3 linked regions of the Lepisosteus oculatus genome follow. The protein of the gene in region 2 purifies or fractionates together with the protein of the main gene of each other region. This does not show direct contact. Links are inferred from orthologs where the notes say so. Each region holds a gene or a part of one and is shown on either strand. Other genes may lie near its edges.

The links. Proteins that work in one complex are often made in the same cells at the same time.
Region 1: the proteins of slx4 (region 2) and pgam5 purify together in Homo sapiens (affinity purification with mass spectrometry; 4 studies listed by BioGRID and IntAct, with this or other methods). This does not show direct contact. The link is inferred for Lepisosteus oculatus from reciprocal best matches to the Homo sapiens genes SLX4 and PGAM5.
Region 3: the proteins of slx4 (region 2) and slx4ip purify together in Homo sapiens (affinity purification with mass spectrometry; 6 studies listed by BioGRID and IntAct, with this or other methods). This does not show direct contact. The link is inferred for Lepisosteus oculatus from reciprocal best matches to the Homo sapiens genes SLX4 and SLX4IP.

What each region holds. Positions count from the first base shown.
Region 1 is NC_090717.1:3,106,800-3,114,603, reverse strand, and holds the start of pgam5 (serine/threonine-protein phosphatase PGAM5, mitochondrial), read right to left. Parts: upstream 3,050-7,804; 5' UTR 2,764-3,049; coding exon 2,531-2,763; intron 1,133-2,530; coding exon 951-1,132; intron 137-950; coding exon 11-136; intron 1-10. Other genes in the region: palmitoyltransferase ZDHHC8B, read left to right, coding at 4,969-5,072. UniProt on the Homo sapiens protein: Mitochondrial serine/threonine phosphatase that dephosphorylates various substrates and thus plays a role in different biological processes including cellular senescence or mitophagy. Modulates cellular senescence by regulating mitochondrial dynamics.
Region 2 is NC_090714.1:3,249,118-3,256,175, forward strand, and holds the start of slx4 (structure-specific endonuclease subunit SLX4), read right to left. Parts: upstream 3,036-7,058; 5' UTR 2,950-3,035; intron 2,920-2,949; exon of another isoform or gene 2,884-2,919; intron 2,873-2,883; exon of another isoform or gene 2,784-2,872; intron 2,228-2,783; 5' UTR 2,104-2,227; coding exon 1,812-2,103; intron 605-1,811; coding exon 464-604; intron 1-463. Other genes in the region: trap1 (heat shock protein 75 kDa, mitochondrial), read right to left, coding at 4,985-5,086, 6,067-6,139. UniProt on the Homo sapiens protein: Regulatory subunit that interacts with and increases the activity of different structure-specific endonucleases.
Region 3 is NC_090712.1:7,013,016-7,020,481, reverse strand, and holds the start of slx4ip (protein SLX4IP), read right to left. Parts: upstream 3,050-7,466; 5' UTR 2,966-3,049; coding exon 2,964-2,965; intron 1,515-2,963; coding exon 1,463-1,514; intron 1-1,462. Other genes in the region: molecular chaperone MKKS, read left to right, coding at 4,718-5,702, 5,922-6,103, 6,717-6,827, 7,302-7,466.

The sequences.
Region 1 (7,804 bases), on a different chromosome or scaffold from region 2:
GTGTGCAGACCTGGGAGGTACTTGCTGATAATCTGAGCGGTCTCTGTGGCTCGCATCATGGTAGAGTGGATGAGGACGTCGTACTTCAGACCCAGTTCGGCCAAACGCTGCCCAGTCAATTCTGCCTGCTGTCTACCTGCACAGTCCGATTAGAATACAGGATGGTAAAAAACATACTGTATATTCTCCCTTTATTACCATGCAGTTCACTCTGTTACAAGGACTTATACCCCCAATTCTGGAAAGCCAAATTCATCAGCAGAAACTAGTGTTCATAGTTGTAAATTAGAGGATTAAACTGCACACATTTGAACTCTCAAAATTCTATTGCTTTTGTTTTTAGTCTTGCAAAAGGCATGCCGGGCTTAAGCATAACAAATGTAGTGTAATAATGTAATGTAACAAAGCTTCTTTTTCAAGACATGTCTCATCAAGTCCCAGCAAGGGTGAGGCACGTCAGTCTCGACATTTTGAACATCCAAGGAAAACCAGGTTGTGGTTATAGGAGGTGTAGGTATGCCAGTAGGTGGCGCTATTCCCCCGGACCACAACACACCAGTATGGGGTGGTATGGTGGTGCTGGGGCCAGCCTTGCTACCTCATAGTGCTGGGGCCCCTGGTTCCATTCCAGACCTGGAGTGCTCACAGCATGGAGTTTGTAGGTATTTTCTGTGTTAGTGTGGGTTTCCTCCCACTGTCCGAAAACACACCGGTACGTTAATCGGCTTCTGGGAATATTGGCTCTGTGTGCGTGTCTGTGTCCGAGGCTGCCCTGTGACAGATGGCGTCCTGCCCAGGGTGTGCCCTGCCTTGGCCCACTGCTTGCTGGGACAGGCTCCGGCTCCCATGTGACCCGCAATCGGAAAAGCAGTTCGGCCCGGGGTGGCCGGATCACGCCCACCAGCCGCTCGGAGCTCAGCTGGGAGAGAGAAAGCCGCCAGTCAGCGTACCCAGAGCCGTCAGAGTCCTCTCCTTGTCCCCGCTGCCGTTCAGGTTGTACTGCGAGTGGCGGATCAGCAGGATGTGGCGCGTGGCCTTGGGCTTGTTGCTGTCCAGCTCTGCGGACAGGTCCCCGCTGCTGCCTTGCTTCTCCTCTTTCTTCCTCGTGTTCACGAGGGAGAGGGGCTCACGCCTGGTAGCGGACACACAAAAGAAAACACCCATTTTAGCAGCAGGAATTACACAGCAGTCGCTTGGAAGACACTCACTCCACCCATGTTCTCAGCGCTTCCTCCAGCTCAGGACTGCGGGGGGGCAGAGCCTATCCCAGCATGCAACAGGCACAGGGCGAGATACTCCCTGGATGGGACGCCAGTCCATCAGAAGGCACACACAGACACAGACAGACCTAGGGCCGGACGTCCCTGGAGCCAATTAACCAGCATGTTTCTGGACTGTGGGAGAACATGTGAATTGGCTTCATTACTCTGCTCTCCTCCCCACTGAGAGCTGGTGTGTGGTGAGCGTTCTGGCGCACTATGGCTGCCGTCGCATCATCCAGGTGGATGCTGCACATTGGTGGTGGTGGAGGGGAGTCCCCATTACCTGTAAAGCGCTTTGAGTGGAGTGTCCAGAAAAAGCGCTATATAGGTGTAAGCAATTATTATTATTATTATTATTATTATTATTATTATTAACATACAAACTCCACACAGATAGTGCCCCAGGTCCAGGACTGAACCCCCAGGGCACTGCCAGGCAGCAAAGCTGACCACTGAGTCTGAACAAACTCCGCTTCTGGCCTTCAATCTGGCATTTAAACTCCAGATCAGCAGAGAAAAAAAACAAGATTCTGTGGATAATTCCACTGCCACACATGGCTCTTTTAGAAGTATTTTCCATTGCTTTCTCCGTTTTCTATGTAACGTGATTTTTCTATATTTTTCCTAGCTAGAGACATCCACGATTAAAGATTAAAAAAAGATTAGACCAAGGAGCTGGAAGGCCTTGGGCTTGGGTATAAGTCCCAGTGGATGTATGCCCCATGTGGGATCGATTCCAGTCGCTGGTACTCATTAGATTTTAGGGTGTCACCATGCAGTTTTGATTAGGGCCCTGGACTCCCGACCGGAGCAACACGGGTTCAAGTCCAGGATGAAGGTGATGTTGTATCCTAGAGCAAAGTAGCTCACTCAAGATTGCTCCAGTAAACGGACGCTCTCGGCAGGTTACCGTTGTAAATGTGAATTTGTCCTCATGTGATGTGTATGTGGTTAATAAGAAATTGTGATTTTAATGATGTGCTTCTTTCGGTTTCAATACCGCTAGTGTTTCAAATGTAGGAAGTACTTTCAACTTGCGCACCGCAGTCAAACGTTTGTTTAAACAATAAGAAGTTCCATGTTTTAACTTTGTTTTTATACTTCTTTCTGTCTTCATTAAACTCTAGTTAAAGACGGTGAGACTTCTTAGAGCTTGGCCATAATTTACATCATGTCTGCAGAAGCCTTTCAAACGTTATAACCCCTCAATTCGACTAAACGTGAGCCGGCAATGGTAACTCGGCGCTTTAAAAAAAGAAAGGACGCACTTATCCCAGTTATGGTCCCAGGCGTTTCCACTCGGCGGCACGGTGTGTTGGTTCCCTGACGTCCAGGTCTGAGCAGCTTGAAGCACTGCCAAGCTCGTCCACTTTCTGGGGCTCTCCCGGGATCCCGCGTCCCCGAAAGTCCCCCGGGCATCCGCCGCCGCTGCCACCGCTACCAGCACCGCTGACCCGCCAGCGAGCCCGCACACCAGCCTGACAGCCCTCCTAAACGACATGCTGTCCGACACAACCCGGCCGCAGGTCTAAAAACAAATGGCGAAGACGCCAGACTGCTGTCGAGATCGAAACCTGATGCACTGTAGCAACAAAGGAACAGACTGACTAGCTGAGGATAAACCGGCTCGGGTCCACTGAGCGCAAACAGGTGATGAAATAAGTGAGAGGAGGAAAGCCCGGTAACAAACCTACACCCTAATCCTCAGAATAATCGAAACCAAGACATGAACTCGCACAACGTCTTAGGAAATAGAAAACCGGGTTGCAATACATGTGCCCGCTTCGGACAAACATACAGAAATACGAAACGCGAAATGGGTGGCGTTAAAAGAATGAAAGATGGTTTTGATACTGAGAATTCGTAACAGTCTAGGTATTTTCTATACAAAAGATGTTTTATTCTGCAGTCAGATTGTGGTGAAAAACCTGTCATAGGTTTTTAAGGATGCGATTTAGACATAGAATAACCGAGACAGAAGAGCCACATTTTCTGTTAAACTCTTCACTATAACGTGAACCTGCCACAATTTTCCTTCTATTCAGTTACTACTCAAGACACGAGAGAGGCTGACACCAGGTATTAGAACTACACAATCAGTCTTACACAAGTCACCAGTGTGTATACCCTTGGATTCACGAGTTTAGCCATTTTCCAAATCCTCGTCTATTTTCTTTCCACTGGACAGTTTAAGAATGCACATATCTCTCAGACTATATGATCAAATGCCACACGCCTCTCTCCCTCCACGTATCTGTAACAGCATCTATGTACACATATCTTTTGGCCCCTGGTTTCCTTTCCACCCTGGACTCTTATTACAATCAGGTCATTAAAAGGTTCACCTAATTGTATTAATACTAATCTGTATTACCACTGTTTTCCAAGAATTGACCAGTTGGTTGCCTATAAGACCTAACAGTCTGCGGGACCATCAGGAATTATCACTGCACTAGGACAAAACATTGTCTTTGGTAATCGTCGAAACGTGTTTATTTTCGCTTAAATGCTTAACCTACACACCTCATATTCAAAAAAGACTTATTTTAATGTTTTTGGTTGTGTATGACATCATTTTGTAATGCTGCTTGTTTATTGGACAGGACTCCGCTGTATCAGGTCAGTGGGTGTTTCTTACGTGTTACTTTACTGTGACTTTTAACTCTTCTATAACTAAATAAAACATTCATCTTTAGTTCAAATATGTTGCTCAGCAGTAGCTTTTAGACTTTCCGCGAATTCAATTACTATTGTTATTTTCATTTTGAACGCTAGGGGGCGCATGAGGCATACAATGGACCGAGGGAACGTACTGTATGAGCTCGAACATCTTCATATATCTTTAGTGCGGTTTGCTACGTGTTTGACACAATCTATCAAATATGCTCATTCAGCTTTGATAATAAATAAAGAAGGGTGATTTTTCCTCGCGGTTACAAAGAGCGACACCGTGAGCTTATAGAATATCGGGAATATTTCTAACGATATGTCAACTCTTAAAAATGACAGGTGAAAGTTTTTTTTCTTAGATGTACAATGTTTAAATATGGGCATGGAGTGCTAGGAAGCACAGCACAACGCGGTAAGTCATGCCAAGTGAGAGGAAACAATGATATAACCGTAAGACACTTGTCATTTTATACTTAAATAGTCTCAAGACCAAGGTTTATACTTGAAAACTGATCTCCGACGGGGCTTTAAAAGCACACACACACACACTTTTAATAATACCATCAGCAGGAGAAGGCTGATGCAGACGCACAGCGTTGAGCGTGTAACGCGGCACCACGTGAGTCTGCTCGATTTAAATGTCATGCACTTTCCGATGCAAAGCCGGGCACCGCCACGAAATCTTCACAAAGACGGATACAGCTCTCGCAAGGCAGCGGCATATATTATGTATGCTAATGTGAAGATCTGTGGCCGTGGTCTCAGACGCCCTTTTCTACGTGAAAGCTCCACCTTACAGCGGTGTTCTGACCTCAGCGGTGGGCTGGATCACAAGGGAGGGATTTTCAGGCTTGTGCTGGTGTGGGGAGCCGTATTTCTGTCTATCTTTGGATCTGAGTGTGTATTTTACATTAGCAGCAGGAAGGGGGGGGGGAGACGGGTTTGCCTAAATAGCCCCGTCTGCAGACATCGCATTGGATCTCCGTATTTGCGTCTCCGATTGGAATAAATAATTAAGGAATGTGGAAACTACAGAATGCCCAACAGCACTGCAAAGAGATTTAAACCCACCAAATACATCCCGGTGTCTACTGCAGCTACTCTTCTCGTGGGCTCCACTACTTTATTCTTCGTTTTCACGTAAGTTTTGAGAAGGTTTCCGCAGATCCGTGCGTGTCTTCGCAAGCTCGTTAAAGTGATGGGGAGCTTTGAATGAGAAGCCCTCGCCGGTTCTGCTTTGCTGTTTACAGTGAGCATTATCGCAGCGAGCCGGTAGTTGCACTGGATGAATGAGGGGTTATTTTTCTCGAGATCAAGCCAGGCCTTAGTGATTCTGGCACACTTGTGTTACTTGTATTTCTTAAATTATTCCTGGAGTGTCATAAGTGTATCACGCCTTGGGCTAGCTGGAGAGAACTGATTTTCTCCCGTGGACGGCGCAATTGTTTCTCTAAAAAACGTTTTATAAGTTGTTTATTTTGCATTTTTGTTTGTAAACTTACTAGATTGAGGCAATAACTAAGGTGTTTGATGATATGGACAGCTCGTCTGAATCGAGTTAACGCTAACTTGCGAAACTTTGTAGCTAGTTCCACTTGGAGCTCGTTAACAGAAATAGCATAGCACCAATTGTGGTACACGGATGAAACCACAGATTTTATGAAAAGAAAAATACTGATCACGGAGCTGCTCTAGGCCGCGACTTCCCAAGGTCCTCTTCGATAGTAGCAGTAAATTAGTAAAAAAAAAGGTCGGTTTCACACAATGCATTTTTTTAATCGTGAAACGTAATGGATTATTGTGAGCTACTCAGCAGAACAAGAAGAGAGTCTAGAGATGCCATAGCCGTTGCAAGACTTTTCGTTGCCTGGAAATTAGTTTCATTTGCATGTGCTGGGCACCACGGCATCTAGGATCTGCCGGATTTCTGCTGTGAACCAGGAGCTGTTTAATGTTGCCGGGGCAGCGACTGGTCAGGATATTCCGGGCGACTATTTTCTCGGCTCCCGATTCATTTGGATTAGGACAAGTGCCCACTAATGCTAGTTAATTGGTCTTCTTTGAAGGATTGAGGCACACCGGTTATCAAGAGACCGGGAAGTTGTTAACGATGCTGCTGTTGATCCGGTTGTTGGGGATGTGTCCGGATTTTTACAATCATATGTATTTTTGGTGTAATAGATTTTATATGTGGTGCAGTGGTTAACATTGCAACCTCTCAGTGCTGGGGTCCCAGGGTTCAATTCCGGACCTGGGGTGGTGTCTGTATGGTCTTCTCATGTTCACGTGGGTTTCCTCCCACAGTCCAGAATCATACTGAGAAGTTAATTGGCGTCTGGGGGAAACTGTCCCTAGGTGTGTGTGCCTTGTGATGGACTCATGTCAACTGACAAGGCAACAGTGAGAGCGCTGGGAATGTCAGTTGCGTTTTACTGATATAGAAAACATTTATACGTTACATTTATGGGTATCCATCTTTGTGCAAAGCTATAGATCAAATATTCAGTTGCATTTTGCCTGCTTAACTATGTGAAAACATGATATTTTCTTCTGAGTTTTTAAGCTCTTGTAAGAATCTCACCACATCCGTCTGTGCTCTTGTAATGAGATTGGTTGATCTCTGTGATGCTTCCTACATCACATGTGGCGGTGAGTTCTTGTCTTGTCGCCTGCACTAGCCAGGTGTCGGAGGCTCTGCAACGCTGGCAGTGTCAGTATTGGGATGAGAGACCTCCAAGGACAACCAGGTTGCTGCTGTAAGTGATGCTGGTGGACCAGTAGGTGGCACTCTTTCCTCTGGGCCAGAATTTCCAAACCAGTGCCCCAGTATGACAATAAGGGACACTGTGCTGTGCAGCTGCTTTCCTTTGGATGAGATGTTGAAAGTGAGGTCTTGACTGCTCTGGTCATTAGCAATCCCATGACACTATTGGAAAGTGTTGGGGTGTTAACACCGAGATAAGATAAGATCACTTTATTAGCCATATACAATTTCTTGCATTAGGAATTTGTCTTTTCGCGTACCCCAGCTTGTTCTCCATGAGACGCACAGACAGGAAGAGAGAAGCTTGGGGTCAGAGCGCAGGGTCAGCCATTTATACGGTGCCCCTGGAGCAAGTGGGGTTAAAGGCTTTGCTCCGGGGCCCAACGGAGTAGGATTCCTCTGCTGGCCACGGGATTTGAACCAGCAACCTTCCAGCCATGGGCACAGCTGCCCCGATATCTGATAGCCTGATTAATGTCTGCTCTGGGCCTGCACAATCTGGCCTCCCTCTAGCTCTCCTTAATTCAGTTAGGTTAATGTGGTGAAGCAGTTTCTCACTCCTCCGCCCAATCTGCTGGTCTAGAATGGCTGCTGTGTGATATTCAGCTATAGTTAAAGTGGATCCCATCCTTTATAAAAAGTGCTGTGGGATCATTTGAGAGGAAAGGCGCTATTTTAATACATTGTCTAACTTTTACAACTGATGGGTCAGATAACTGTAACTTTCAGGTGTATAGTTTGAAAGAAGTCACTGCAATGGAACGCCTTGTGTGGCTGCTTTTTAATCATTGTGAGATGCTGATCAGAAATTATGATCCAGATAAAGTGAGAAGAAATAATTTTCAAAGGGTGTTGTGTTTTCCTCGACTTGTTTCTATTGGACAGATGAACAAATTGAAGTGAACTCAAACCTGGAAAGTCTTTTTTATCTGCAAATCAGGCCATTTTGTTACTCCTTTTCTGAGCCTCTACAGCATGGGGTGTGTCTGGGGGGGTCGTCCGTAGATGGAGAGCATTTTTTGAGTTGTGGGGATGAATTTTATCCACAAGATCTAATGACAATGAAAAGAAAAAGAAATGCAATTACAGTAAGAACAATGACTTCACC
Region 2 (7,058 bases):
ATCTGACAAAACTCCTGGAAATCTAGCAATTTACCTCACCGTCACCTGGAGTGTTTTCACACTCCGTGAAAACAGTGTGGAAAAGCCAAGATGGACATAAAAAACACACATGAGAACAGGCAACCAATATAAAAAGATAAAATGAAATATGCTAAAAGAATACGAGATCTGCATTTCTGAATAGTTCTGATAGGGTGACCTGTAACGGTGATTTTCTGGTGAAGACATCAGTGAAAACCTGTGGCCCTGATGAAAAATGAAGCGCTTTTGACTTTAATAGTTGGAGGTGTTTGGAACCACCTACCCACGACATTTCGGAAACCTTTCAAATTCTTACAGAGTCCTTGCTATGAGCGATACACAAGACTTTCACGCTTTTCTTAAGGGTGAAATGTGTCCGGTCCGAGGACCGAAGGTGACCGTGGGGATTTAAAGCCCTGGAGGTTCAGGAGCCCAGTCTGACCTGGTCCCGAAGCTGTCGTGTGGCGGTCCCGCCCCGTGCCCAGGTCCGTGTGCGTCAGTCTCTCTGGGCTCAGTCTCTTAAACCGCTGCAGGCGCCGCACCACCTTCTCCTTCACGCCCATCCTCCCTGGGCCCTGGACACCTGGAGAGCGCGACAGGTGAGCACTGAGGACTGCAGACCCCTGCTCCATCCCTTCACAAGCAGACGGATGCAGAATCGTTTGGCAGGATGGCTGGGCTTGACATTTGATGCATGCAAGTGCAGGGTTCTACCTGCAGGTGAAGTGTAATATAAAGCAACACTGAGCTTCAAGAGCCTATCAAAGAGACACTTATCCATCCATCTTCGAAGCAGTTTATCCAATTCGGGGTCACAGGGGAGCAAGCATCGGGCACAAGGCAGGGTACACCCTGGACGCAGTGGCAGTCCAGCACAGGGCACACACTGACAAACACACACACACACTTACACCAGGGCCTGTTTTCCCAGAAGCCAATGAACCTACCAGTAAGTCACTGGACTGTGGGAGGAAACCAGAGAGAACATACCAACCCCATGCAGATAGTGGCCCGGGAATTGAACCCAGGGCCCCAGTGCTCTGAGAAAGCATTGCTAACGACTGTGCCACCCATGTCTTACTTTATTATTAATATTACTATTGTAGAACATTCGAGGAAAAAGGTGAACAGGGTGTCAGGCTATATAGATGAAAAGTGCAGAATGGAAACTACAGGATGTTATTTATAACAGCTCATAATGAACAACTGCAGTGGGCACATTACAAAAAAAAGTGCAGCTCTGGAATCAGTGCAGAGAAGAGAGAAAATCCTGGGATTCAAGTACAGTCACACTCTGACAAGCTTCAGGAACTCAACTGCTGTAGTCTTTAACAGAGAAGACAGCAGTATGACCCATCAGACTTCTTTAGATCCAACAGTGAAATACAAGTGACAAGCAGAAACGGCAAGTACAGAAAGTGGAGTCGTGACTCAGGACAGGAGGCTTTTCTACACCACGAGTTGTAGGAGTGTGGAACAAGCTCAGCTGTGCTGTTGACGCCAACACCTGGGCTTCTCAATGAGATCCTTGAGTCACTTAGCCAGGAGCAACCAAGCAAGCCATATGGCGTCTACGCCTTCCACTGACTTTTCATTTCTCTTATGGTATCACTGAACCAAACACTGGAAGCCAACTACAATGTGCAGAAAAGCTCAGGGAGCAGTTTCAAGGAAACATTCAAAACAAGGCCAACGGTCAGTACATGACATGCAGGCGGCAGATTTGAATGCTGGACACGGAAACGACGAGGGGGGCAGAGCGAAGGCGGGGGTATGCGGTCTTCTCCTACCTCGGGGCGAGGCTTCGCCGACGCTGACCCCCGGAGGGGCGCCAGAGGGGTCACTCTCCGGGGCTGGGCCCACCGCAGGGGGCACGGCGGCCTGGGACGCGCGGCCTGAGCCGCACCCCTTCCTCTTCGAGCCCGGGTCGGGCCCCCTCCTACCCCCGGCTCCTCTCCTCAGCCTGCCCCGAGCTCTCGGAGCCCCGATGTCCCTCCGGTGGCCATCCTCCCCCTCCGCCTTTTTCACCCGTCTCAGCACCTTGGTGCAGAGCTCGGTGAAATCCTCATCTGAGTCTTCCATCCGTCTCCCCCGAATCCCAGCCCCTTCCAGCCGGGGGCGTCTAAGGGCCCCTCGCTTCACACCCCATGTTTAAGGCTCATCCACAGCGGACACTAGCCCACTGAACGCCCCCTGTCGCCAAACACTGTGGAAACAGCAAACAAAACTCCATCAGCTCCCGGTGAGAGGAAAATCAAGGGAGAGCAACGGCAAGAAGTCTAAATCACAGCCCTGAGTTTTGCCATTTTATTTGATCTGATCATATTCTAGTTTGCAGACAGAATGACAGAAAAGTGCAAAAAAAATTACAATACAGTATCGGGAGATAAAGCAGTAACAATACAAAAGGATACGCAAAGAGCACGGGGTGAAATCAGAGCCCAATGCACCCGTCCTCTTACGTTACAAAAACGATCATTTTTTACAGCACATGTCCGTTGTCATGCGCCAAACTACAGTTTTTAACACATTTTACGTCCTGATTTTTCAGAGATCGAACTTTTAGTTTAAATTCCTAAATACATCAGTTCGTCATACGATGAACGAGTACAGAAATGCGCCTGTCTTCAATGTAGCATCTTCTGAAGCATGCACTGTAACCACTTATGCACAACTTGTCTAAATTATTTGAAGATATAAATTGCATTAAAATAATTTGAATGTAATTGGTGCACTTGGTGCAAAACCGCTAAGAGATTTACATTGTGATAACTCCAGCTAATGAACCACAAATAAAAACATTTCTCGACGTCTTGCGAGCAAATCAGAACCCGAATCTGAGTTCTATGCCTTCACGTTTACCAGATCATATGGATTTCATTTATTTTTTTAGGTGTTGTTTTAAAATATGACACAATTCAAACTCACACAGAACCCGCTGGGCTTTGTACTTCCTGTCACATGCCCACCGCCGTACCGTCCACGTCACATGACAAACCTCAACTCACATGATATCCCCACTGGGCGTCACAGAGAAAGTATTTTGCACGTAATCCTTTGCGGGTTTTTAACAGAATAGTTCTAAGCTATTCTATTTTATAGAAAGGTGCAACATTTACGTTTGCACGAAAATGTATGCTTTTGGCTTAAGTATCATTCAAAACATTTTTGTGCTGTACCTAATCGAACCTACATTTCATTCTCCCATAAATGTCTTGAATTGTTTGGTATGATGGCTTTCGTCATGTTGTTAACCCGTTATATGTTAACCTCGGCCAGTGATTCCCATACACGTGCTAGACAGGGTTCAGATCCAGACTTTGGTGAATGAGGACTTTTTTATTGGAGTCTTTTTTGGTTTCCTGGTGAACATACCAATGCTAGCTTCTTACAATGCAACTGTAGTGCTACAGGGCCCTCTTACCTTGGGTCTGGCCAGCCAGAATGCACTTTCTACACATTGCACTCTACGAAGGCGGGTATTATGAAGTGGAGGAGCTCATCGACTACTCACTCTATCCCAGCCCTTGTGGAAGCTGACTCCCCTGTGATTCTTTAACATGCCTCATGCAGAGGGTCTGGAATTAGTACTGCAGCAATCTTCCCTGATCCCTATGGACATGTAGGCGAGCAGAGGCACAGGCTCAGGGTTTCGTCTCCTTTACTGATCGATGCAGGTGTGTGTGCTGATCACAGGGAGAGAAGAGAACAAGGAAAAGGTGTCCCTAAGGTACAGAGAAAAGGAAACATCTTTCCTTTGTATAGGGGGAGAGAAACAGGGAGATCTGAGTGAAGATGAAATGCACAGTCTGCCCAAAGATTTCAGATGCTGTGTGCAGGTAAACACCATTTCCTTTGCTACTGTTGTTAATTCCGCTCTAGAGCCAGCATCTACAACCCTTTTCCTAGAAAGCTGCAATCCAATTTCTAGACTGGATTGATTAGATCGGTGATCTGTTAATTTACAGACAATTTGGAGCAAACAAACTTCAGTCGTCAGGGACCAACCTGCTTTTAACTAAACAAAGAACATGCATGCGTCATTAATAACTTAAAAGTGTTTCCAATCCTCAAAAATAAAAAAGTTAGAATGCTCTATAAAATCATGAATGACTAGGGCACTCCACAACTAGTGTTGAAGAGACCTGCTTTAGGGTTTTCCACTAATGGTTTTAAAATCTTTCAGAATCTAAATATGGAGCAGAACATATTTAGACAGCCTTCAGAAACATTCGCAAAAAGTATTGAAGCCTCTTTATTACCAACTACATTTTTGAATGTTAGAATTCACAGCTACCCAATAAAAACGAAAGGCTGAAAGAACACAGACATTCCAGGCTAATGAACACGTAGGTTTGTCTGCGTCCTTTATCATTCCCAACTAAACTCTTAACAGAAGAATGCAGGGATTTTATTGAGACAATATCCAATTTCACCCCTTTCACATCTGCTGACCCTTTCATCACAGTCACTAACAGTTAAGCACAAACATACAACAAGTGCGAGTAGATGGTTCAGGGGGCACAGATCAGCTCACAACAGCACTGCCTGAATATAGTAGGTTAGGAAGATAAAGGACCTGCTTCATACCCAGGAAAAATCATTTGATGTCGGCCCTAATGAATATTCTCCATGCAAGGAATTACTTTGAAAATGAAGAAAGAGGATTCGAATGAGTCTTTTCTGAAGATGCTTCCTCACTACTGCGATATTGAATTTAAAGTGAAGATCCATTGGAGCCCACTTCTCGATCTCTGCTGTAATGGCCTCTTCTATGGGGTTACTGTAAACGTCCTCTTAGGGCAAGGCTGCAAGACCAAAAGTTATCAGAGTCGATCTCTTGCTCCAGCCCCAGAAATCCTGGATGAAACGTCCAGTCCTTGCACTGATTCCAGGCCCTGCTGCCTCCTGATGCAGCCTGGCAGCCTGGCAGCCTGTGTTCGGCGCTGGCGGGTCCGAAGGGTCAGTGCTTCTCCAGAGCTCGGGTCAGCAGCTCGTTGAGGCGGCCGATCATGGGGCGGGGGTCGTCGTTGAGTCCTGCCGCGATCATGGCGTTGTCGTAGATCTGCAAGGAGAGACACTGCGCTGAGGGACAACTTGTTGTGCTGGAAGAAACAAACAGCTGTGACAAAGACATAAAATGGCCAGGATATAAAGTGTAAAGGGGATGGCATGGTGGCGTTGTGATCAGCACTGCAGCCTCAGGGAGCTGGGGCCCTGAATTCAATCGTGGGCCTGGGGTGCTGTCTGTGTGGCGTTTGTACGTTCTCCTCGGGATCGTGTGCGTTTTGTCCAGGTGCTCCGGTATCCTCCCACAGTCTAAATGTCACGCCCAGTACACTATAGAGGGTGCTCTACTTCTCTCCTGTTCCTGGTGCCCTGTGATTATTCATGTCTTTCCGGTGTTCGTTGTTGTGTAGCCTATTTACTTCCTGCTTCTGCTCTGCTCCTTCGCACCGGCCTAGCGCCAAGTCACTCCTGTCCGTGGCCTGAGGGCATAGGTTCATTTCCTGAACAGCTGAGCTCGGGCTAACCCCCGTCTCGCCGCTACGCATAGGGTCTTTATCGCTCTCCTGCCATTCCACGGTTTGTCCCTTCTGACATCCGTGATACGAAAGACATGATGGGAAAACCGGTTTGTTTGTGTCTGGGTGTGCCCTGTGATGGACTGGCATCCTGTCCAAGAGCATACCCTGCCTTGCGCCTGTTGCTCGCTCCGGTTCCCATGCCATCCTGAATCAGATGAAGCAGGAAGAGAACGGATGGATGGATAAAGCACAAAACAGACGTTCAAACTCCTCCGATTTGGAACACTGACCTAGTGCATGGGTTCCCAGTCCTAGCCCCTGGAGGCCAACACACCCCAACCCCACGTCCTTCGCTAATTAGAACTACCAAGTTGTTTAATCAAAACATCTGCATCCCTTTGCTGATTCTGGGCCACTCGGGAGCTGGGGATTTTAAAGCTGGACTGAGCACTGTCTCCAGCTCCACAGGCTCGACTCCACTCCGCTCTGCGGTGCTCAGACATCACAGCAGCCTTACCTGCTCCAGCAGTAACTGCGCCAGATCGGGGTTCGAGTCCTTCAGCTCATTCAGCTTCTTGATGAGGTCGTGCCTGATGGAGAGAATAATTGTTTACAGCTCATTTGGGGAGACAGAAGTATACCTGTGGTTTTGGGCATGCCTCCAGGATCTGAGGTACTTTTCCTCATCTTTCGGCATCTCTGTGAATATTCTGCTTCAGCCCCTCTTTTCAGTAGTCAAGGCGTCTGTGTAAATCTGATTGAAGGCAACCAACTGGCTTTAACTTGGATCCAGAAATGGATTTGTGCAATTTAATAATGTGACATTTTAAGAAAGCTAAAGGGTGTTGTTCTCAAAGGACTTGAATATTAAAACATTTATAAAGATCAGGGAAAGGAAGACAGCCGGCAAATTTGTTTTTAATTTTTGAGGACTGCAACGTTTGTTAAAATAATCCTAAAAAAGTTTCCAGAAATTCCAGCCACAACGGCTACATGCAGCAGAAATCAGCTTGCATCTTAAAACCTTAAAAACTTAAAAGTTTTCAAACTCAGACAAAGGCCTCAACTGAAGTAGGACATATTACATCGAACACGTACTCCAGGTGACAATACTGCTGCCTTATCCCACTGTGGAAGGTAACGGAGTAATTTGGAATCTGTTAACCTAGTCTTCTGCCGCCTATACGAAAAAGTACGTCAAAGGAAGAGAAAACTGAGTTCTATTAACTGCTGCAGAAATGAATTTCTGTAAAAAGTGAAAAAAGCAGAAGCAAGAAACTTCAAACTTCAGGACAAAACCCCTAAGATGTGAAGTGAACCTCTGTCATGTATCACATGTACCTATACTGCATATAAGAGCTGGGGGAACCTTTGCAGCCTGTCCCCTTGCTCGTCACAATTCCCACAACTACTTTTGTTTTGTTGCACCCACACTATGCACCTGCTACACTCACAATCAGCCTGGCAGTAGAGCAGTTTGAGTCGGTGTCACAACACAACAACATAAAA
Region 3 (7,466 bases), on a different chromosome or scaffold from region 2:
TGTTGCTGAAATTCTGCTGGTCACATGGCTATTACAATAATGGAACAAGATGTTTACACATCATGCATTCATAAGAAGAACTTAGAACCAAGTGTGTGCTTGTTTTATTACATAAAAGTTACAATAGGCCAGTTTCAACTGATAAAAACAACAAATATAAGATATAAGCTGACTGACTTATGCCCCTGATTATTCACCTGGGATGGCCAGCCCAAACGTACTGAAGTAAAAGTCAAGTGCACGGGAGTCAAGTGCACAGAGAATACGCCTCTGCCCCCTGCTGGAGGCTACCCAGTGAAGTCCCGTTCCCCCTGACTGCCCTCATCTCCCCTCAGGAACAGACAGCAGCTTCCGGTCCCGAGCTCAGCCGCTGCTGCTCAGGGAATCCCCCTGCCAGGCGCCCGGTGAGGAAACTGCACTATGCAGCCTTTACCCTCCATGATTTCATTTGGTCTCCACTTCTTCACAATTTCTGTAAAAGCTGCTGGCACACTATAATGTAGAGTGATGCCTAATAGGCATTTTTTCATATTAGCACAGAGATTGAAAATAAAATACACCTAAGAATGCTCCCTTATATTGCAATACAGTTTTTAAATACCCGAAGTACAAAGCCACAACAGAAATAACAAGCAGCTACCATTTAATAAGCCACTGCTAATTTCCTCAGAACTGATTGTTTTTATATCGGCAACATCTCAGCAATAGTTCCTACAGGCAACAACTATGGATTGTAAAAAAAAAAACATTTTCAGAGGAGACTTCCTTGTATATTTTTTTTATTTTTATTGATAAACTTAAAAAACTTTCCCAAACCATGAAAACCAAAGGTTCATTCATCACAGACACCTTTGTCTCTTAGCCAGTACATTTTCAGAAACAACGAAACAAAAGCAGGCTGCACAATCTCTTTGATCACATAAAGCCATTATGTAGTCTTCAGCACTGAAAAGGGTAACGCTCAGAATAATATTTCCTCAGCAATTCGCAGACTTGTTTATGTTGGACTGCATTCACGTCACAAACTGAAATGGCAGAGCCTAAATTGGCACACATGAAGAAAAGTTTTGAACCTTAGGGAAAACAAAAGTATCCCATAACTCTTTTTTTCCTTTTTTGTACAATTTTGCTGTACTGCTATATTGCTTTTACACTTCAGCCAAAATCAAAGATAATGGTAGATACATTACTGATGCAATAGAAATAGAAAATTAAGACTTATCTCACTTAGGACAAATGGACAAGATTTGTTTTGTGACAGCAGCCATTTGTTAAAACTGATAAATTACAAAAAAGAACAAAAAAGATAACAATAATGTTCCATGTCCCAACCTTTAACAATTTTTTTTTCATTTTGGCATTTTCTTAACAAGACAAATCCAGACTAAATCACATATGCATAAAAAAAACAGATAAAAAGTTAAAAACATAAAAAATATTATAAATTCCTTCATTTACATACCTTCACTACAAACTTGTTTGGGGACATTTTTTGCATGACATTCAGTGACAACCTGAAAAATAGCAAATAAAACATAGACATCGAAATATAAATTGAACACCTTTACTTTTACATTACTATGAGCAGGGCATGCAAAAAATTACATTTTGACAAATGACTTTCTGATTGTGCCCAAAGGTCATTTTCCCACACTCAGTAATGTCGTCACCTTCTATGACGCCCGATAGCAAAATTTATCTCAGAATTATAAAACATATTCATGCACTAAGCAATTCCTCCCAGCACTTTCTTGAAAAATATTTTATGGATGATATCATAAAAGAAACATGCCTAAATTGCAAAACCTGTCACTGAGTCATCGCTCAAAGTGATACACAACAATACAGACCTTAATTACCTTGCGGTTCTGGTATTTAATGGTTATGGGGAAAATATGATAGATTGCAGAATGTTATTCTGCATCCGTCCCACAGCTGTCAAACACAACAGCTGTTCAAAATCAGCAGGGGCAGAGATGATTGTACAAAAATGTATGGTACAAGAACTCCACACTGTTGCCCAAATCTTATAAAGAAAACTAAAGAATAAAATATGAAGGTAGTTCACAGTTATCATTTGGTGACTGATGCAGCTTTCTTTAAAAACAAAAAGCCAGCGGAAATAAAAACCCCAGAGCATATCACACGTAGCTTTGGGTTCTCGCACGCTACTGACACGTGTCTTTCCTTAGATCACGTTTTTATCTTTCAAATAAAAACTTACTGTGGAAAAGTGTTGCACCGTCAACACTGCAACTTAAAGGATACACACACACACTTCCTATTAAGTAAATCCAGAGATACATTTCAGATTATTTGCATTTTGCTTATGGTCTTATAGTTTAATATTTGATAACACAACTTTTGCAATGACAATAGTGATGTGTGCACAACTCTGGTCTCAAAATAATTTAAAAATGCTATTACCGATATAAATCCTTCTGTCCAATGTGTCTTAAAATTCTGCACCGTCAAAAAGCAACTTGAGAGTGCACGTATGAAAACAGTTATTGCGAACAATAAATACATGTTATGAGAAGGGTTTGCTTTTTAAAAAAACATCTAACGCTAATAAATCCTCGGTATTCCTGATAAATACGTTTATGTGTTAAAATGTAATTATACAGACAATATTCCATGTTCAAGTGAAATTTATTTTTAAAAAGCATTTGTTTCCAAACTAAATTTTAAAACAGTAATGAATATTAAGGCTCTTCGGGACGTGTGGGGCCGACAACCTAGTTGTATTAGGTAAAACGAGCAAGTACAGCTGCGATACTACACATAGTTACAGCGATTCCATTCCATCGTAAAATGTCAACAAGATTACAGTGCATAGAAATGTGTGGAAACAGCTGTGAACTATCACTATAGTAACAATACAAGCACCTTTTCTTTAAGAAATAGACATGCAATTTTATTTTAACAATGTTTTATAATGCATAGCTTCTGGTTTTCCTTACATGGAAACTGCGTTGTTGTTGTTGTTGTTTTTTTATCGAAGCCGCTACGTACCGAAAGCAGCACAAATGTTTCCACGTTCTCTTTCCGCCATCAGGTTTGAATACGGGTCACGTTGCGATGACAGAAGGACCCCCATAGGCGTCCTTGATGCCATAGAAACGATCGCTGAAACTGCAGAATTTGAAAACACTTGAAGACGTTTGCTTGTTATGGTAACTAAAAGAACAAAAATGGAAGAAAAAGACGTTTACACAGAGTGTGAAGTGTCATTAGATGCGACTAGTTTTTTGATTGAATGTGTATTTCAATGACAAACAATGAGTACTTAATACATGTTCATAGTTTGTATCTTATTATTCGTTACACTATAGTACCGTCTCTTATAGTGCAGTGCTTGGCGCTGAAACATCTTATATATTTGACAGGCATATATGTGGAAATTCGCAAATGAAAGGACCCAAAATGGCCGCCGTGTTTCTAACTGTAAGCTGCTGAAGGTGAGTCTTTTTTGTCACTTGTATTTGTAAGTCCTTACGAATATTTAAAATATTTTACTAGGTTTTGGTTTAATAATACTTGTTTACTACGGACGTTTTGTGTCTTGATTTTTCCAGTTATCAACCGTAGCTATGGTTCACTCTGTAGTCTTTCTATGAAATCAGTCATTATGCAAGTGATCATAGGGTAAAGAGTCATGAAGCTAACGTCACAAATTAAATGGTTCTTTGTTTTAAAACAGTCATGGTTTGACTTCACCATTTGCATGGAGATGTTTTTTATATTTTGTTTTATTTTTGTTTGGTTTCTTTAAACTGTGTTTTCATTTGTAGGTTCCAGCGTTACTATGGGACTAAGAAGTGCGTGGAAGAACTACAAAGTGCTTATAGTTATGGGCACGGGTCTTGGACTGGTACACTGGGGTTGGTACAGCATCAAGTCAAATCCTATCTTCCACAAGAAGGAGGACAGTTACATGCCAGAGCCCGGCGTGGTGTCCTATGTCTCCCAACAGCAAAGTCACCCAAAAGGAAAGCAGTAGAATACTGATCACAGGTATTGGGCTGTCATTTTTTAGCTCTGTGGCTCAAATGAAGATTCTAAAGTTTGGCCTGTGCCAGCCATTTCTCGTGCTGTAGGTAAATAGAATTGATGTTCATCTGCAATCTCATAGTGAATATTATAGAAGATGTAATGGCACAAAATAGAATTGCTTTGACTCAGGCAATGACCTATCTGGAGAAGCTATTTTTAAAAAAAATCTATTAAATATGGAAGTTCTCTATTGTATTTCTTAGTCTAACAATATGTGTAATTTTCCCTTTCATTTCAGGCAGAAATTAATCTCCAATTAATGACAAAAAGATCCCTCGTTAAAGGCTGCTAACATGAGCAATAGAAGTTGGTTGCAGAAGAACTGGCTGCTTGTGGCAGGACTTTCTTTTCTTGGTATTCACCTTGGGACATATCTATTGCAAAAGACTGTGAAAAGCTCGACTCGTTCGGATCTTGCATTGAAACAGAAGGATGTCAAGTAATGATGCCACAATCGGAAGAGCCAAACTAGACCATTATGTGCTGATCCTTGCTATTTAAGTTTAAATTAAAAAGGTTGTACTTTGAAATGGGTCTATAAATGAGGTCAGACATAAATAAATCTGCATGGCCTTTCTGTAAATTATCCACATGAAATAAAATGGCTTGGACTTTAAAAGAAATTCAAAGTCTTTAGTTTCTCTGATAGGCTAAAGCAAAGATGTCTCGTCTGTCAAATAAAAAGACCTCGCTCTGTACTGCTGAACCTTTATCAGATGATAAAGTGTGTCAGAAACTGGCAGTGTTCAGGCAGATCTTCACATCATGTTTTGGTCCTACCGGCAGACTCAAGCAAATACATAACAATGTGGGAGGGCATGTCCAGACCACATCTACGTCAGCAGTGCTTCTGAAAGGAGTTTTCACATCACACCCTGTCCTCAAGCTACTTACTGCATCTGTTCTGAACCATATTTCTTGCTTTAGCGATTGTGGTTTGTTTGCAGCTATCCTCTCCTGTGCCCTTATCGAAAATGCACAAAGATTAAATATTGAAACGGGCATTACCCTCAAAGTGTACAGGCATCTCCTATGCCTGTGTAAAGACTATCTGAATCAAGAGGAGTGTGGCTGTAGAGTAAGAATTGATTTTGGCAACAGTCAGTCTCTGCTGTCCCTGGCACGTAGTGTCATAGCTAGCAAACCGGCCTGCATGTTGACTTACAAAGAAGTGCAACACGTCAGCTCACTGGTGGTGCAGGCGTTCTTGCAGACAGTTCCCTGTGAGGCTGAGGGAAGTGTTTGTTTGGGGAAGGTGGTCTTCGTTTCTGTCGAAGGCCACAGAGCGATGGATTCAGCTCTGTTTCCTGGCCTGCTGGTAGAAATGCCAGAGATGCTGTCTGCTTCTGACCTGAAGTGGCTAGATCACAGAGCCATCACTCTGGCGCTGTTCAACACTTCGCTCTCGGGTGACCTTTCTGAGACGGGGGACGGAACGCTGGAAGTTAGTTGTGGCCTCAGCCCAGAAGCAGCCGTCCTGGAGCTGCTGCTGAGGATGGGGAAGCAGATCATCAGTGACGGTGTAGCGCTGCTTGCATGTCAGAAGGTGGTACATCCTGTCTTGAAGCAGTACCTGAAGGAGCATCATGTGATTGTCATAGAGAGGTTGGGGATTTCACTCATGGAACCACTAAGTCAAATGACAGGTGTGTAATTCACTTCCGATTATAAAGAGGAGAACATGGAAATAGCCCAGTCACTTCTGTAGAGTATAATTTAAAGTTTGTAGAATTGAATCATAGTTGCATTTTTTGTTGATTTGCAGAGTATTGTTTTCTCAAATATGATGGACATTGTTTTTAACTTTTAAAAATTTGAATATGACTGGCTCTTAATGATTTTAAATCCTTGTTCTTTTGAAATAGGTGCCCTACCTATTGCTAGTTTTCAGTCTCCTGTTCCATCCAAGTGCTATGGACAGCTGAGCAATATCCTTGTGAAGAGCTTTGGGTCTAGACAGATGCTTAATTTAATCCCAGCTGGAGATTCAACAGTCTGCAGTCTGGGGCTGTGCAACAGAAATGAGACTACCCTTAATGAGCTCAAGGTAGGCTGTATTAGATTATTTTAAGAACAGAAGATGTGTACAGTAATTGTTCCAAATCACTTCTTTTTTTACTAGAAGACATTTTGGTATCTGTCAAGACTATGAAGAATTCACGGTAGGTTTGAATGAGCAACAGATGGCAATAAATCACAACTCGGGTGTTTTAAAATATACATTTCTGTATAACATGTTGTTTACCCTACCTGCTTGTAATGCTTTTGAGAAGACTTTGAGTTAAAGGAATGGCAATGGCATTCTACCTTTTATCATGCTACATACATCATATTACTATCAAAAGCCATATTTGTTAAGATAATATAAATTCTGCCATTCATGACATGATATCTCCATGTTTTTGTATATTGGAGTACAGTAACTTGTACAGTCAGTACAGCAGGATGTACAGCAGCAAAGGTTACATGTTACTGATAACAGAAACTGTTGCTTTGCTTACATTCTCCAAATGCATATATTATATGCATTATACATATATTAAACTCAAAAGCACATTTTAGATTTCTTTAAATCTAGCATTTTACAGCAGTTCCCTTACTGTAAACTCATTAATATTTTTAATTCTGGGCTCTTATATCTAAATGGCTTTTTATTCCAGTTGACGTGCCAAAATGCAGAACATGTCTTGAGGCTATCACTGAAGAGTCCCTTTGCGCTTTTTGGTGGAGGGTGTACAGAAACACATTTGGCTGCCTACATCAGAAACAAGGTATGTATCTGGGGGAAAAACATTGTTGGAATGCTCAATAATTAAGAATGTACGTCCATCTGAGTGTCTGATTGTTCTCTCACATGGGATGTTGCGTTGTGCCTTGTTCAATTTCAGCTAGCTCAAGAAACCTCTGTTGATGTTGGAAAGATTTAGCAGGCTTCAAAATAAGCCTGAAATGTGAGCAGTGTGGCTGGGGAGTTGGATGCGATTCCCCCATTTCTTTTTGTTTAAAGCAGTGGACTCGGTTGTTTTTTAATGCTCTTTAGACCAGCTGTGTTTTGGAGACTGGTTAAATAAACACAGTCTCGGCTTTTTATGGAGAACCTTATTTTAAAAAAAGCCGGGACTAGATGCTTTACATTTTTGCCATCAGGACGGAAATGTGATATGTCTGATAAATGCATGCATCGTGAAGAACTCGCAGGGAGAAAAGAGCTCATTTTGAAATAGGTTCCCTAATGTCTCTTACAGTGCAGCAGTGGTGTCGATGGTACGTTACTGGGGCCTGGCTGCTCACCCACCCAGTTCCAGATGGCGGCTGACAGCTTCTGCCGAGCCCTGGAGTCAGTGGGCCGATCCCTGGAGCACGACGGAGGGGAATCCCTCGTGGACCTGCGCTGTGGCCATCGCTGGTCC